Oryzias latipes: one gene and its partners. The protein of the gene in region 1 interacts with the protein of each later gene in a biochemical or structural test. Links are inferred from orthologs where the notes say so. Each region holds a gene or a part of one and is shown on either strand. Other genes may lie near its edges.

What was found.
Region 2: the proteins of hdac5 (region 1) and zbtb16 form a complex in vitro, tested with the Homo sapiens proteins (2 studies listed by BioGRID). The link is inferred for Oryzias latipes from reciprocal best matches to the Homo sapiens genes HDAC5 and ZBTB16.
Region 3: of the proteins of hdac5 (region 1) and sik2, one has a biochemical effect on the other in vitro, tested with the Homo sapiens proteins (2 studies listed by BioGRID). The link is inferred for Oryzias latipes from reciprocal best matches to the Homo sapiens genes HDAC5 and SIK2.

What each region holds. Positions count from the first base shown.
Region 1 is NC_019866.2:23,905,526-23,910,671, forward strand, and holds the end of hdac5 (histone deacetylase 5), read left to right. Parts: intron 1-590; coding exon 591-709; intron 710-782; coding exon 783-916; intron 917-1,019; coding exon 1,020-1,101; intron 1,102-1,184; coding exon 1,185-1,359; intron 1,360-1,685; coding exon 1,686-1,725; 3' UTR 1,726-4,627; downstream 4,628-5,146. UniProt on the Homo sapiens protein: Responsible for the deacetylation of lysine residues on the N-terminal part of the core histones (H2A, H2B, H3 and H4).
Region 2 is NC_019872.2:25,466,793-25,471,938, forward strand, and holds the start of zbtb16 (zinc finger and BTB domain-containing protein 16), read right to left. Parts: upstream 2,734-5,146; 5' UTR 2,327-2,733; coding exon 1,089-2,326; intron 1-1,088. UniProt on the Homo sapiens protein: Acts as a transcriptional repressor. Transcriptional repression may be mediated through recruitment of histone deacetylases to target promoters. May play a role in myeloid maturation and in the development and/or maintenance of other differentiated tissues.
Region 3 is NC_019871.2:15,491,019-15,496,064, reverse strand, and holds part of sik2 (serine/threonine-protein kinase SIK2), read left to right. Parts: intron 1-3,210; coding exon 3,211-3,437; intron 3,438-5,046. UniProt on the Homo sapiens protein: Serine/threonine-protein kinase that plays a role in many biological processes such as fatty acid oxidation, autophagy, immune response or glucose metabolism.

The DNA of each region.
Region 1 (5,146 bases):
TATATTAGGCTGATAATTGCGTAAATTAGTATTTCTTTATTCAAGTGTTGGAGCAGACACAAAAATGCAGTTTGACAAAGCTTGTATTTATGTAGAAGCTACAATCAGTAAGTCACGGTCTCCCTGCTCCGCTCCATTCGGATCTTTCACCTGCAGACTTATAGATCCACGTACGTCTTTGTTTTCCTGGTCTGAGCTGGAATCTGGATCCAAACTGAATGACTGGAGAGCTTTTTGTGGCAGCAGTAATGTTACGTTGGAGTTGTGAGGGTCTGTAAGCTAGCAAAAGAGCATGATGGATGATGGGAAGGGGGGTGGGCTTACTCCGCATCAAAGGCCCCTCCCACAACTCCGGTGAGTTCATAATGAACTCCTGCCGCTCTGCTGAAACCAAAAAACAGCATAATTATAATGAAAACACTTTGTAAATCGATCAAAAGGTGATCAGAGTGGGGCATTAAAGCTAAAGGTGGGCTGGGTGGGGGCGGGGGGTGTTGTCTTGTGATATCACTGATTCTGGAACCAGCTGCCTGCTATATTTGACTGGTCTTGGTTGCAGTTTTTGAGTCTGTCTCATTCTGGCTCTGCAGGAGTGTGGTGATGCCCATCGCTCAGCGGTTCAGTCCTGATGTGGTTCTGGTGTCTGCGGGCTTTGATGCAGTGGAGGGCCATCAGTCTCCTCTGGGGGGCTACAACGTCTCTGCCAAATGTGAGTGTGGAGCCTCTGCGGCGCCTCGGCGTCCGCTTTGGAGCGTCTTCCTGACTTTGTCCGGTGGTCACAGGTTTCGGACAGCTCACCCAGCTGCTGATGGGTCTGGCGGGTGGGCGGGTGGTCATGGCTCTGGAGGGGGGCCACGACCTGACTGCCATCTGTGACGCGTCGGAGGCCTGCGTGTCTGCACTGCTGGGAGACCTGGTAAGAACTCCTGCAGCGTGCAGGTCTCCTTTAACCGTCAGTCCGTCTCTGATCATCAGGGACAAAAGATGAAACCATGACACGCTCTTCCTGTCTGTTCCAGTGTGACTCCACCTTTCAGTGGCCGCTGGACAATCCCTGTCCTAAAGCTTGTGCCTCCTTGGAGCGGGTCATCGAGATCCAGAGTAAATGGCATGCACTAACATTCCTGATACTTGTTGTGGTGCTGCCCTCTGGCTCACCGTCCTCCTGTCTCTCTGTCTGTCAGGTAAACACTGGTCCTGTCTTCAGCCTTTGTCCCAGACCAGCGGGCGCTCGCAGCCTGACGGAGGTCAGGGGACGCAGTCGGAGAAGGACGAGGCGGAAACGGTCAGTGCCATGGCGTCGCTGAGCGTGGACGTGGAGCAGCCTGTTTCTGTTCCTGAGAGCACGGACAGCAGCAGGTGAGCACAGGCCAATGCTAGTGCTGGAACTATCCGTCCCACCTTGTGAGATTTTCCTACCTGTTGAGCAAAATGATGGCTAACTAAATGTCCTGCCTTCAGTATATGAACATTTTGATGTTGGGTAGGAAAGATTCACCATGGGAGTAAGACAGATTCACTTCATGCATAAGAAGCGGAGTAAACTAGTAAAGTAAAACTCTTTTAGTGGCAGAATGTAGAACAGTACCCTACAAATGCATACTGTTTATCCCTGTTTTCACAAGCCATAAAGCGGGATAAAGGTCCTGGAAAAACTCAAAACAAGTGTGTGTGTGTGTGCACAGGTCCACAGAGGAGCCCATGGAGGAGGAGCCTATCTTGTAGGAGGAGACTGACATTTAGGGAGGAGCCTGCCTTGCAGAAGGAGCTCCAACCAGAAGAACATCAGTCGTCTTTTCCTCCTTGGAGCAACTCTATCCACTCTTGTTCCTCTTCCTCCACCTCACGTGCGTGCACGTGCACACACAGTGGAGTTGTTGTTGTTGTGGGGGACTCTGATTGGCTGAGGCTAAGTTGGGTTCTGAGAGGAGTTTGGACTTGTTCCGCTTTGACTCCTCCTCCCAGTAAAGTGCAGACGACTTGCTAGCATCTCCATGGAAACGGAGGGGTGCCCCCATGGTACTCATGTTTGCTTCACCACCAGATGCTCATTTGCTCCCTCCAACCGTTCCTATTCCATTTCAGCCCACTGAGGGGGGACGCGTGAGCTCTGAACGTCCAGCAGGAGGCTGACGCCTGGTCGCCTTGAGTCTGGCAGAAGCTGCGGTAGGAGGTCATGTGGGGGAGCAGGTGCCTTTCTTCTGTCCAATAGGAAGCCACAAAAGGCAGTAGGATATGTGGAGACACCGCTGCAGCCGGACAGATGGATTCTGACTGAACTTTTCTGCCAACCCCCCACCTCCACCCCCTCCCTGCCTCAGGGTTGGGTCAGGCTGATTTGGGCCGCCACCCGCACCTTTCTTCTGGCTGACAGCGGCAGAACTTTTTATCTCGTGACGTGTTTGTTATCTCACAAGCATCATCAATTTTCTACACCTGTACATACGTGAGTGCACTCGTACTGGAACTTTTGAACAGATTCGGCGAGGCCGGCCTGCGTCCGTTGGCAGGTTCCTCTGGCGTGACGGGAACCACGCTGCCCCCATCAGGCAGAGAGCGGCAGCTGCAGCTCAGTACCTGTGGACCGGGAATGCTGACCTGCAGACGTTGGCTTTGTTTTTGCTTAAAAAAAAAAGCATCAATGTGCCAAATCATGATACTCCCTCCGTTTTGCTCGAATGGTGCACAGGAAGTGTTTTAGCCATCTTGGCCTCTACTTCAAGCCCACAAACTCTGGCTTTCGCCCTGTATTGTTCTTCAACACTGATTGTTTTGGCGAGGGCTGAGACCCCCGCAACCACAGAGAAACATTTACTTCAGTTTACTTAAGAGAACGGAAAATCCTTTAAAAAAGATCAAACTTAAGGTCAGATTATTAAGTGATGCTACTTTACATAAACTGAAATATTTTGGGTTTTTTTTGGCGGGGGCTTATTGCTCCAGTGCCTTCTACAGTCATCCCATGTATGAAGTTCCTTAAGGAGAGCCGTGGACCACGCCTCCCCCCACGCCACAGTTCTGCCGTTACACCACTGAGCCGATCCGGTTGCTCCATGGGACGCCCACAGAACTGAATCACACAGTCCCAGACCGTCAGTCACAAACACTACAGCACCATGACAAGCTGCCTCTGGTCGGCACCCCCACCCACCTCCATCAACATTGCTGACGTCATGCATTTACGCTAGTCCACCTTTAGCAGAACCGGGTTAGGGTTAGGGTTCTTATCATTCCAAACTCAAACCAAGTTTTGTTTTGTTATTGCTAGGAGGCCTGGAAACCTTTAGGTTGTGGTATAGGCAGCCTATAGCTCCATCTGGTGGCCACTACAGACAGCTGCGCTTTGAAAAATAATTGAGGGACAAGTTGTAATACATAAATTAAAAAAAGACGTACACTTTTTTTCATTAAAATACATAAAAAATGAGGAAAAAAGAAGAAAAAAGCATTTTGGTGTTGAAATACAAAACCTGTAAAGGCTAAAAAAGAATTAATGTGAAGAAAACAAATCTATTTATTAACCTTTTAGTTTTAAAATGTGTATGTCTTTTAATTTATGGCTTTGTTAAGTTTCTCTACGTACTTGTTACTGTGTGTTTCTGGCCGTTGTGGTCATGAGACATCCCAGCGTGCTTCTGTATGAGTTGATTTTTCAGTACCTGAAAATTCAGCCTCAAAGGGGGGGAGCTTGTCGCAGGAAGGTGGTCCAAAGCGCTGCACATGTCATTCTGTGGGCGCCATCGCCATCTCGTTTCATCACGACGATGGAGAAAAGGCTGGGTTTGGTTTCTGTTTGGAAGGGAAAACTCTCAGATAACAGATGCGTTTATGGTGTTTCTCTGCAGCCAATCTGTGGCCTGGAGTCTACCAATGCTGATAAAAAAAAAACCAAGCACACACATGTAAATGCCATAGATCAGCAGGCCAGCGAGGCTCATGGGAAACCAAAGAGCGATGGTTGACGGGGAAGCAGCAGCTGTGGTTTGGTGCCTTTAGTTTTACCAATCCCATGAAACCTGAAAGATTTGAAGAGCTGGTGCTGTCAGCAAAAACTCTGCTGTGGGGGAGCGCAGTAAGCAGGGGGGTGTTGTCCAGAGGCCGCAGAACTAGGCACACTGAGACGCACATCGTTCTGCTACATTTGGGCTTTTCATGTGATGTCTGGGGGAGGGGGGGGGGCTTTGTTTGGACTTTTTTATTTGCTTTCCTTAAAGGAGGGGGTCTCTGTTACTGTTGTTTAACTCTTGACTAAAGTTTCTGTTTGTGTTGAAATGATCACATTCCACCCCCCCCCCCCCCCCCTCAGTGTTTGTTGCCACTATGGTCTCACTCAGTCACACGTAAAAAATATTACCATTCACGTGTGTGTGTACACGCTCGATGACGCAATCTTTGTTGGGGGGGGGGGGTACCATTGCCGCTGGTTGTCGTGTCGTTCCTGCTGACGGAGATGAAAAGGGATCGTCCCCCCTCCCCTCCCCTCCCGCCGTGGACATTTTCTCTAAGCCTCTTTTTATTACTCTCACTGTAATGTTGTGATGTTGGTTCTGATTCTCCGTTTCCTTTATTTTATTTTTTTTAGTGGGCTTCTTGTTACCTTCGTCAATAAAGCAGTTCCCACAGTGTTTGCAGTGCTGCAGTGTTCTGACCCACACGCTGCACGGTCCAGGGTCCACTCACACCAGGGACATGCACTTTCTGCCTCAAAGTCCGGGTGTTCACTAATAATTACCCCTGTCAACAAACACCTTTGTACGGTGGCCCTGAAGGGCAAATGACACCAACTGTCACTCCATGCAATTTTGTCCAACCGGCGATGTCTCACAGTACCTCCCCTTTTCTTTATGGTTTCATTTTTTAACGTTTCATTATGATTTCTGGAAATCAGAAACGTTTTTTGGGCGGAATTTTGTTTGCATTTCCAAAACGATTTTGTTCATTAATTTCCTTTTTTCATTGTCATGATCTTTATTGTTTTATGTTGAGTGATTTGCACTTTAGGGCCACCGTACCTTTTCCCCCCCCAAATATTTTATTTCAAACAAAGAACCCCCTGTCCATTTCCCAGTATTGTAATGTCACAATAGCATTTCTGTTCATTGTTTTTTTTATTCTGTTGTGATCTTTCATATACTTTTCAATAAAA
Region 2 (5,146 bases), on another chromosome or scaffold:
CATTAATTATATTAATATATAATATATAATTATGGTATTTAGATAATACCAGTTTTTGTGACCGCTTTCCCTTTTTGTTTTTTAAATTCATTGCACCTTAAAAGTCAGACAAAGCTGAAGTTAGCTTCCATTCTTAGCTTCCACTTTGACAGTTATGGGTTAAAGGTAAATCTAAATCACATGTGGATGGTTCCTTCATAAAATCTAGTTTACAAACAAAGTTTAAAGCAGCTGCAGACATTTTACAGAGGGTAAAGATAAACTTTACCCACACAAATAAAATAAACGGATGGCCACTTTGGCCTTATACGTCCGTGAAAATATTGTCTGACAATAAAGCGGTCCGTAGTCTGAAAAAGTAAAAAAAGGTAGGAGACTACTGCTGCTCTGTGATCAATAGGAGGTTTTCTGAATGTGTTGTAAAATTACTCAGCCTTAAAGCTTTATTTATATGCAGCGACTGAAACAGTGCTGCGCAGCTGCCACTCTCCTGTCCTAGAACTACCTCCTTGTCTCGGGTTCAGCACTCATTTCCTGAGCTGACCGTCTACTCCAATTATCAAGCTAATAAGGGCCCCCCTTGTGCAGTTATGGGAAAAGGGAGGGGAGCAGGGTCCTGGATGAGGGAGCTCCACATTGGTAAGTGTGTGTGATAGCTGCCGCCCACATCTTGGAAGGTGTGACTAATGGTCTTGGACAATGTTAAGACAGCATTGCTTCAGCAGTCACCTGGGCAAGCTTGGCAGCTACTAAAGGAGTAAATCTCCGGTTCTGAGCTGGCGACTGCACAAAACTGGGCTTTATGTGACTGTAAATGGAACTCATGCAAGTGCAATAAAACAGAAACATAAAAGGATTGGGTCAATTGTTGTTAAAGTCGATCAAGTAGAACAAAAGAAAACCGCTTCACCCATTTTAAATAGTTTAAGCCTAAAAAGTGACAATATGTTTATAAAACCATTGAAATCGTCAATTATGTAAAAGTGTGTAATTTTAAAATCAAAATGCAGAAGATGCACCTATATGAGTTTTGAAATGGGATAAACTCAAAGACAAAGGAGACAGACTGGAGAGGGAAGGAAGCTTACCTGTGCTGCTCCACGGCTTCATTATCTGGTAGCTCTGCGCCGCAAACATTACAACGTTCATGCTGGTTCCTGCCGTCCGGTTTCATCCCCACTGCCAGCTCCCCGAGCTTGCTGAAGAACTCTCTCTGGATGAAGCTTTGCGGCAGCAGCCCCCCATACGCACTGAAGTCCATGGACATCGCCAGGGCAGGGGACATGGGGAGACCAGAAGCCATGGACACCGGCATGGACATCATGGCATCGGATTTATGATTGACAGGAAGCGAATATAGTGAGGCCAGGTGTTTCTCAGTCATTCCTGCCATTGCTTCCAGCCCCATCTGGCTGACTTCGGCTTGCTGGTCGCCCATGTTGTCATCACGGATATAATGCAGTTCTCGAGCGCTGGTGATCACGCTGCTCCTCGTTGGCGTTCCGGGACCATCTCGGTTCCTGTCCTCTCCGCTTCGCTCTCCGTTGCTCGAGACGCTGGACTCCATATTCTGAGGACTGTCATGTCCATTGCCACTCATGTCCACCTGCATCATCTCAGTCTTGATGTCGGTCATCAGGTGGTGGGAATTAATGTGGACGGGTTGCTCACCACCAAAGCCCTGCTGGAGCAGAGACTGGCCGATGCTCATCAGACTGTCCACAGCGGCTTTGGTGGGACTCAGGTTGGAAACACTGTAGGAGGTGGAGACAGAGGGACTCTGGTCAACCATGCCAGGCATGTTGGAGGCTTGCTGAGCTCCTGACAGGTTGGGAGTCTCCAGGGAATGCTTTTTGGAGTTCTTCGCTCCATTTTGGCCTTTGCGCTCCTCATCGTCTTCTGTGCTCCCATCATTAGCGTTGACATCCACATCATTCTCATCTGAGGACTGGATGGTTTCCAGGATCTTGAGGCATTGCTCCTCCAAGTATTCAATCTCCAGGATCTCGGCTGCATACAGAAGGTCATCCAAGTCCTCCACCTTGGCTTGAAGAGTGGCAGTGTAAGCATACTCCAAAATCTGCTGAAAAGTCTTTGGTGAAAGAAAGTCCAGGGTATAATGCTGGCTGCTGCGGTGGAAGAGGATCTCAAACATTTTGCTGGTGCAGGCAAGCACAGTCCGGTGAGCGTGAAACTCCTGGCTGTCGACCATGATGACCACATCGCACAGAGTCCCAGCCAAACGCATCTGGTTGGCCTTCTGCAGCAGGGCAGTGGGATGGTTGGGGTTCTGGAGCTGGATCATACCCATTTTAGTTAAATCCATGATATTGATGTAACCTGCCAGGCCGACTCATGAGGCTCGCTTTCCCCGCTCAGCAGAGATTTTAGCTGTTTTTGTAAACAAAGTCAAACCTGGATGGAAAAAAAAAGAGAAATGTCAACGGTGGAAACATTTTTTTATTTACAATTCCAAAAATGTATATTGTCCTTTATTTCAATATTCTGCTTGTTTTTATATATGTATAAAAAAATTGTGTGAAGCACTTTGTGTTGTGTTATATTTAAAAAGTGCTATATAAAAAAATGGTTTGATTTGATTTATGTTGTTGTCTAGGACAGTTTCTGCAAAGCGGCTGTATTTTATTAGAAATTCACCTCTTCATTAGAAATTTTGGCATGGAGCAACCCAACCCCCACTTCCTGTCACTCATCTGTGTCACAACATGCTCTCCCGCTAGCTTACTACCCCTCAAAACCCCAACCTACCATTACCTGAGCAACAAATACACTGATTAACATAGGAGCTACATGGCTGTACACTTTTGAGCCCGGTGCCAGCTCGGAGCTAGACGTACATCTAGTGGATGCATCTGCAAGTGGATGCATCAGAGTGGAGCGGAACAGGGAGCTTGTGGCTCGGCGTATTTTCTATATAACAAATACCGGTAAGCTCTTTTTCAAACTGCATTTATTGTCTGCTCCAGATTCACAACAATTTGGATAAATAAATACTAAGAAATGCAATTTTGAGCTTAATTTTCTTTATACATGTCCATCATCAGAAAAATATGACAAGAAAAACACAATTTTCATCAGAGTGCGTCTTTAAAGAGGAACATTTCTTCTAAAAAAGTGTTTAATATCAGACTTCTGCAGGCTTCAATTACAAACACATGAATGGGGAAGAATACTTAGTGGCGTTCTTATATTAGCAGACGGCACTGATTGGATTTTCTGAAGAGAGACAATTTGTTAGCTGTCCAACAGGCTCATCCTGCATACCAATAGGTCCAGCATATGTTATGTTAAAGAGATGTCTTCATTTGCTTATCTGATGGGGATATACACCAGTTAAACAAGGCTGAATTGTAGGCTCTCACTGCGTCTGGGTTCACAAAGACCGTCAGCAGCCTCAAATAGCATCTTACTCAGTATTCTCATCACAGACAGGAGCAGGAGAGCAGTGGCCAAAAAATGGGCGAAAAAGACAGCAAGATGAGGCAAAAACCCACAACACGGCCCCAGAGAGCGCCTGTGCTTGCAAATGTTGAAAATCCTGAATGAATGGGTGTCTGTGGGTACATTTTATAATTCAAGCTAACAGGGCAACATGTTGCTCCACCTCATTCCTGAAACCTGTTTGACCCATAATGAAAGCCTGGTTAAATTAAGATCCGGTCACCAGCATGCACCTAAGATGACCAACAAAACACAGATTTATTTCATTTATTTTATGGAAATAAAAAAAGAGGGCACAGAGTAGAAAGAGTTAAATCCATCCACTGACCCACATTCTGCCTGAGCCCATTGATGGCCTCATTTATCCAGTTCTATGACCAATTACAAGATTTGGCAGCTCATTTGGCTTTTTCCTCTTGATCTGCTCATTAATATGAAGAACATTCTCCCAAACTTCCACAGGAAAGTTTCATATTTATAATATTAATAATAATTCACGCCAAGACGCCTCATAGACCTCTTGAAATCTAATCTACAGGTTTGATTGAGAATTGAGGGGTCAATATGTGCAACCATAAAAGGACTGGTGAGAAAAAAAAGGAAAAATAAACAGCTACATGATGTTTCGTTTGAGCTGTGAGAATGACGGGCAAAATATTGTTCGGAACACAAGGCGAATACGGAGGGGCCACAGCTGCGTTCCTGACCGGCATCAGAGATCATGCCTCCAGCCCTGAATGATCTTTATTACATGTTTGCCAATAGCTGCGATTTACGAGCCCGTCGGGGATCAATGCTCGCTGCGCTCCGCGGCTGAAAGTTTGGATTTGGAGAAGGGAGCTGCGCGCGCGTCTAGACAGCCCTCTCTCCACCAGACAAATGATACACAAAAGGTTGTGCATTACGCATAGAAACAAAACACAGCGTTAAGCACATGAAGCTGCCGGAGGTTCTTTCCCTGGAAAGGCCGACTTGAGAAAAAGAGACCTTAATCAATCTGGTCACGAGTTGTCTGCCGTTGCGCACCTTGACGAGCCAGCCACAACAGGAATAAACGCCGCTCAATATCCCAGACGGTGAGCCGCGGTGACAGACAGCAAACGCAGGGGGGAGAGCAGAAATGGAACCGTGTCTGCGCGCAGCAAAAGTGCACCAGAGACAGACAGACAGCAGCCGGGATGTGGCATCGACGCGCTGGCAGAGTTTGTTTAAGCCGGGGTTAAATACTCCACTGCTGCCCGGCTGCAGCTGCAGCTGCCGCGAGGATAAAGAGGAGGAGAAGGAGTGAAAGAGGGAAGAGAGGGATCAGACAGGTTCGATCAGCAATCAATTTGCCATTGCATTTGTTACCAGCTCCTCACCTCACAGCATGATGCGCGCGCGAGCCATATTGGCAACTGGTCTAAAATCTAGTTACCCGTCTATCAATCAATCAACCAACCAATCAATCACCTGTGGTCCAACTGGGTTCTGGGGCTTGTTTCGTGTTTAAAGACCACCGTCTCCGGGGCTCATCGTGATGTCATCACAGTTAAATAAACCACGTCTGCTGGAGACACAAGGACGGGCAAGTGCGTCGCTGTCACAAAATGGCACAATTCGCGTCCCCCCAAAAACCCAAAACGGCCAAATCTCCATTCAAGTGACACGCAGCCAGCAGCCCGGCGTCATGCGCTGTCTGGCT
Region 3 (5,046 bases), on another chromosome or scaffold:
TATTACTGAACTGCCAGATATCTATGTTTGTGGCAGCTCAGCTTGTTTACAGCGAGACTCATTTCCTCTTCCGGCGCACGTGCAAATTATTTATTCCAGACGAAAGTGTGGCCCATGTAGACGTTTTGTTTTAATCGGAAAAAGTTTTTCTGGGCCCATTTACACGGTTGAATTATAATCCGATCTTTGATCCGATCAAGATATTTTGCACATGTAACCGCGGCTACTGACTGCTAACATTTGCAGGGGTCATGTGTTACATGCAGGAGTGAGTCAGGTCATATGACTGTCTCAAAGCAGCCCCGCTGTTAGCAATTGTGCTAGCTTGCAGGCTGGAGATTAAATCCAGAGCACGAGCTGTTTATGTAATCTGGGGGACAAGGCAGCAAAGCCCTCCTGCAGGCTCTTCCAGGAGACCCTCTGTATGTCTCGTTGACTCCCACTGTCTATGAAATGTCTTCCTGTTTGTCTATTTGCTCCTCATGATCGAAGTCTCCGTAAGGGGGAGTGCTGGAATTCATGTCATTTCTTCTTCTTTTGTTCCGAGCCTTGAAACAATTAGGAGACGGGGAATGTGAGAGTGTAATGTCAGTTCTTGGCCTAGACTGACAATCCAACCCGCCTTTCCACCCTCACTCCTGCCCCTGTTCCCCCCCCCAAATGTGAAGAACAGAGTGTTCTCATTTCTTCTACTAGAAACAGACCTCATTTCCTCCCATTGCTCTCTCTGGTCAACTCTGTGGTGCAGGGAACAGACTAGCACCTCACTCTAAACTCTCACTAGAACATTTTAGTCCAGTGAATGCTGTGGTCAGGCACTGATCAATGACCTTTTCAGTTTTTTGCATACCTTTGCATGTCTCTTCTTTATTCAAAGCTTCATAGGGACTCAGGTTGTCTATGCATTCAGTCATGTTTTAATGGTTGCATTTGAAAACTTTATTTTTAAGCTTTGGTGTGATTTATATACACTGAGATGCATATATGCAATCATAAAAAGTACTTTTCTCTAGTATGTCTTTGGACAAAAAAAAACCTTTGACCCATTGCATCTCACTTGAGAAGATTGCACAAATGTTTTTATTTATTTATTTTTTATTGTTTTTATTAGTAAAATAAAAATGAAGCAGATAGATTAGATTTTATTGCTGCAAATAACCAGCCCTTCATTGGTGCATCATCAGCAAATGTACTGTGAAAGTTGGTTGGTCTGGAAGAGTAAAAACTGATTTTTCCTGCCATGAAACATTTATGTTTAGTTATGTTTGTATTATTTCTTGACAAATATGTACAGCTAAAGAAAAATAAAACGCATATTAATTCTATAAACACCAGCTGCTTAAAAACAAATCAATTCAGTTTATTTTATTCAGCCATGACATTAATTTCCTTAAACCCTCGTTTATCATTTTCCAATTCCTAAAATAGGTTTAACTATGCAGTAAAATTTACAATATCATTACTTCTTGATTAGTCAGTACTGCAGGATTCTAAAAGTTAGTGCTGTCATGCTGGTGTAATGTTCCAGCTAAAAGCAGCGTGTCTGTCAGTCAGTCACACTTGCGTAGCGTGAACCAATGACTTGGTTCAAACGTTTTTTTATGATCAGTAAAAGTTCAACTATAAATCATGCATTATTCTCTACAGTCATTGGGTTGTCACGCTAACGTGGTGTTTCGGTCACATGGGGCTCTCCAGCCAAACCGGTTTTATAAATGGGCACCTGCTCACAGGCAGTGAAGGAGGAAAGGAAAGCTCGGGCCGCTTATACTAACGCACCTTTATTTACTGTACTACTACATATGCTCAAGTTCACATGCTACTTCACCCGTATGTGAGATAAGGAAGGCGGCACATCTGTTCACATGTTTAAGGATGGAATTTATCTGAAAAAAATTAAATGGATTTGAACCCGTCCTCAGTCTCACAGTGGTGCATCAGTCGTGGCGAGGGCAACTCAGTCTTCTAAAATCCTTTGCTTGAAGCAGAGCCTCAACACTGTTCATCAATTGGTATACAGTTAAATACAGGTAACAATGCTCCTGCAGACAGGCCTTGGCGTGCAGAAAGAATGCGATGAAGGGCACACGGGTTAACCACATAATTGGGGAAAAGACTGAGCTGGCTGAACTACAAAGCATGAGTTGGGAATCAAACCGTGATGCAAGCAGATGTTAGTAGATTTGGGTTGGGGGGGCGGGGGGGTGCTGAGAAGCAGCAGGGAGTTAATGTTGGCAGACAGGTCTTGGAGCTCTCAGGAGAACAAGGCAAGTAGGTTACCAGCAGCATGAAGTGAACTCCTCTTGCCTGCCTCCTTTTGTAACAACTTCACTTTACTAATTTAATTGGGTTTGTTATGCTGTAGGTTAAACTCCTGTAACTCAAAAAAAGAGAAAATGCAATCTATTTTTAAACTGACTTCAAGAAGCTTAAGTGCAACCTTTTTGATTATATGAGACTACCCATTAGAAGAAGAGGTTATTTTAAATTGAATTGGCATTTGAAATAATTAGAGATGTCAACTAATGGCTTGGGCTATTTCTTGAATAGATACCTTTTTTACTTCAAGACAATAGCACTTTTAAGAAAACGGTGAGGATGTTGCAGGCAGGGAATGCAGTGCAAGCAGCAGGAGGGCATCCAGGCCTGAGTAACACAGCCAAGGGAACTGTAATCCTGTTTAGAACCCAGCTGTGTCTGACGTCAAACTCATCTAGCCCCTAACTAGAGGTGAAGAGTTCTCATGGGGAGGGATGGAAAGTGGAAAAGAATGTATGCATGCTGTGTGGAAGTAGCTGCAGGGAAAACCCAAATGAGCTGCTGCCTTCACGTTCTTTACAGGCCTTGTCAGACATGCATCGAGTTAAACAGAACATATGTTTAAGCTAATTGAGCAATTAGTTTTATTGCAAACCTGTACAACAGAACGTGTGTGTTTACCAGCTTATGGAAAGGGTTTGAGGCAAACCTTTCTCCATCGTGATGAGCTGCACAGCCACATGAATTCTGAAAAGAGAGTTTGTCCTCGCTGGTCAAAATGCAGCTGGAAATTGTCAGGAAAAGCTGAAGATGTGAAACCAACAAAGTTGAAGTAACACTTATGCTTCAATTAATCTTTTAGAACATTTCCTTTTTTTAATGCATTTGTTGACCAGAAACTTCTTAAAAATAATTGCACCCTCTGTATTTGCTCCTTTCTCATTCTGGCAGACTGTGAACACTTGATCCGCAGGATGTTGGTCCTGGACCCGTCCAAACGCCTGTCCTTGGCACAGATTAAGGAGCACAAATGGATGGCTTTGGACGTCCCAGCACAGAGGCCCGTCCTGTACCAACAGCCACTGTCAGCTGAGGGTGAGATGGGTGTAGGAGAATACAGCGAACAGGTCCTTCGCCTGATGCACAGCCTTGGCATCGACCAACAAAAGACTATAGAGGTAAGCTTTCAAAAGGAAACCGCTATAACTGCAAGAACTAGTTGGCGACTTAACCATCAAAGCACTTGACTCCAAAGGGCAATGGTTGTAAATTGCAAGTCACTTACTTTTTGATACTGATGCATGATCATATTTACAAAGCAGTTAGGTTAATGGGTGTTATCTTAAGTGTGCCAACATTCCAAAACCAGTTTCACTTAAGCTATATAGTTCATCTCTATAGCTGAATACTTCAATTAAATGAAGTGTCTGCACTTCCATTGGGATAAACCAAAAATCTTAGAGACATAGTTGACAGCTACCACTTTCTTATATTTAATTTCTTTTCCAGTGATAACGGTTGTTAGTAGATTAATAATACAACACAAATTAGGTTTACAGTTACACAGACCTGATGGCTGCAATTTGTCCTGAAGATTTGGTCTTCCAGCTTAAGTTTGTCTTCAAGTCTTCAATTTAAAAAATGAGGACAAATCGACACAATGTGGAGTTACTCTGAAAATGTTTTTGTTTTCAGATAGTCTTTTAAAAAAACTGAAGAAAATGAAGTATTTTCTCAGACGGTGTAACTTTCAGAAAACAATCCCCTTGAGTAATTTCTTCTGTGATTCTAGAATCTGGTAAATTACAGTGAGATTTTTCACACACTGTCTGCATTTTGACTTTGTTTAATAAACAGTTATATTTTAGGAAATTACTTGGCGAGAATGTTACCATTTCACAACAGCACAACGTGTTTCCAAAGAGCAATTAGAGGTTGAAGTAAACATCAGTCTGCCATTTAATCTCATTTCACTTAGTTTTCACATGCTCACAAGAATTGCAATGCATGACTGATGAATGATTTCATGGCAGTATCTGTCCGTTTTGCTTCATATTTCAAAGCAAATTGAGGAGATGAAGGATCTTTGGATTGAGAATATTGAATTATAGTTTACTGGCTGTTCATGGAATCATTTGACATCTGGTTGAAAAAGGTGCCTGTTCAGTAAAAGCCAAAGGAGGCCTTTATCCAATAGAAAAATCAACAGTTTTGTTTATTCTTCAGCTCATTCTTTCATTCCTCTGACTCTTGGCTGGGTCGAGGGGGCATTTGGAGGGCGTCATTATTGTATTTAAAGAAGCTTTAAGTGTATGCAAAGTTTACATCAATGTACAATCTGCCTGCAACCCAGGAGAAGAGAAGTGTGAAATCAAACTACCATCAGTTCTGGAGCAAAATTCAGTTTTTATGCAAATGAAAGTTAAAAGAAATGGGTCAAACTTCACAGCAAATGTCTGGCCACTGTGGGGGAGACGATGCACAAGATCCAGAGAAATGTATGAATCCGCTGTCACCGAAAATCAACTTTTAAAGGAAAAAAAAAGTTGTTGTTCTGAACGTATTTCCTGCCACTGCTGCCTTTACTCAGAACTTGGCTACAGGTAAAAAAACCAAAGCAGGAAAAACTGAAGACTATCTTGTCACAGTTCAGTTCATATCAGTTTCAGTTGGGCTGTTGTGTAGCACAGATTGACTCTGATAGGAAAACAAACTGGGTTATACCCATCAAATCTGCCCTGCTCCTTCAAACTCAGCAGGGAGGAACTTAAAAAGCGTCTTAGTTTT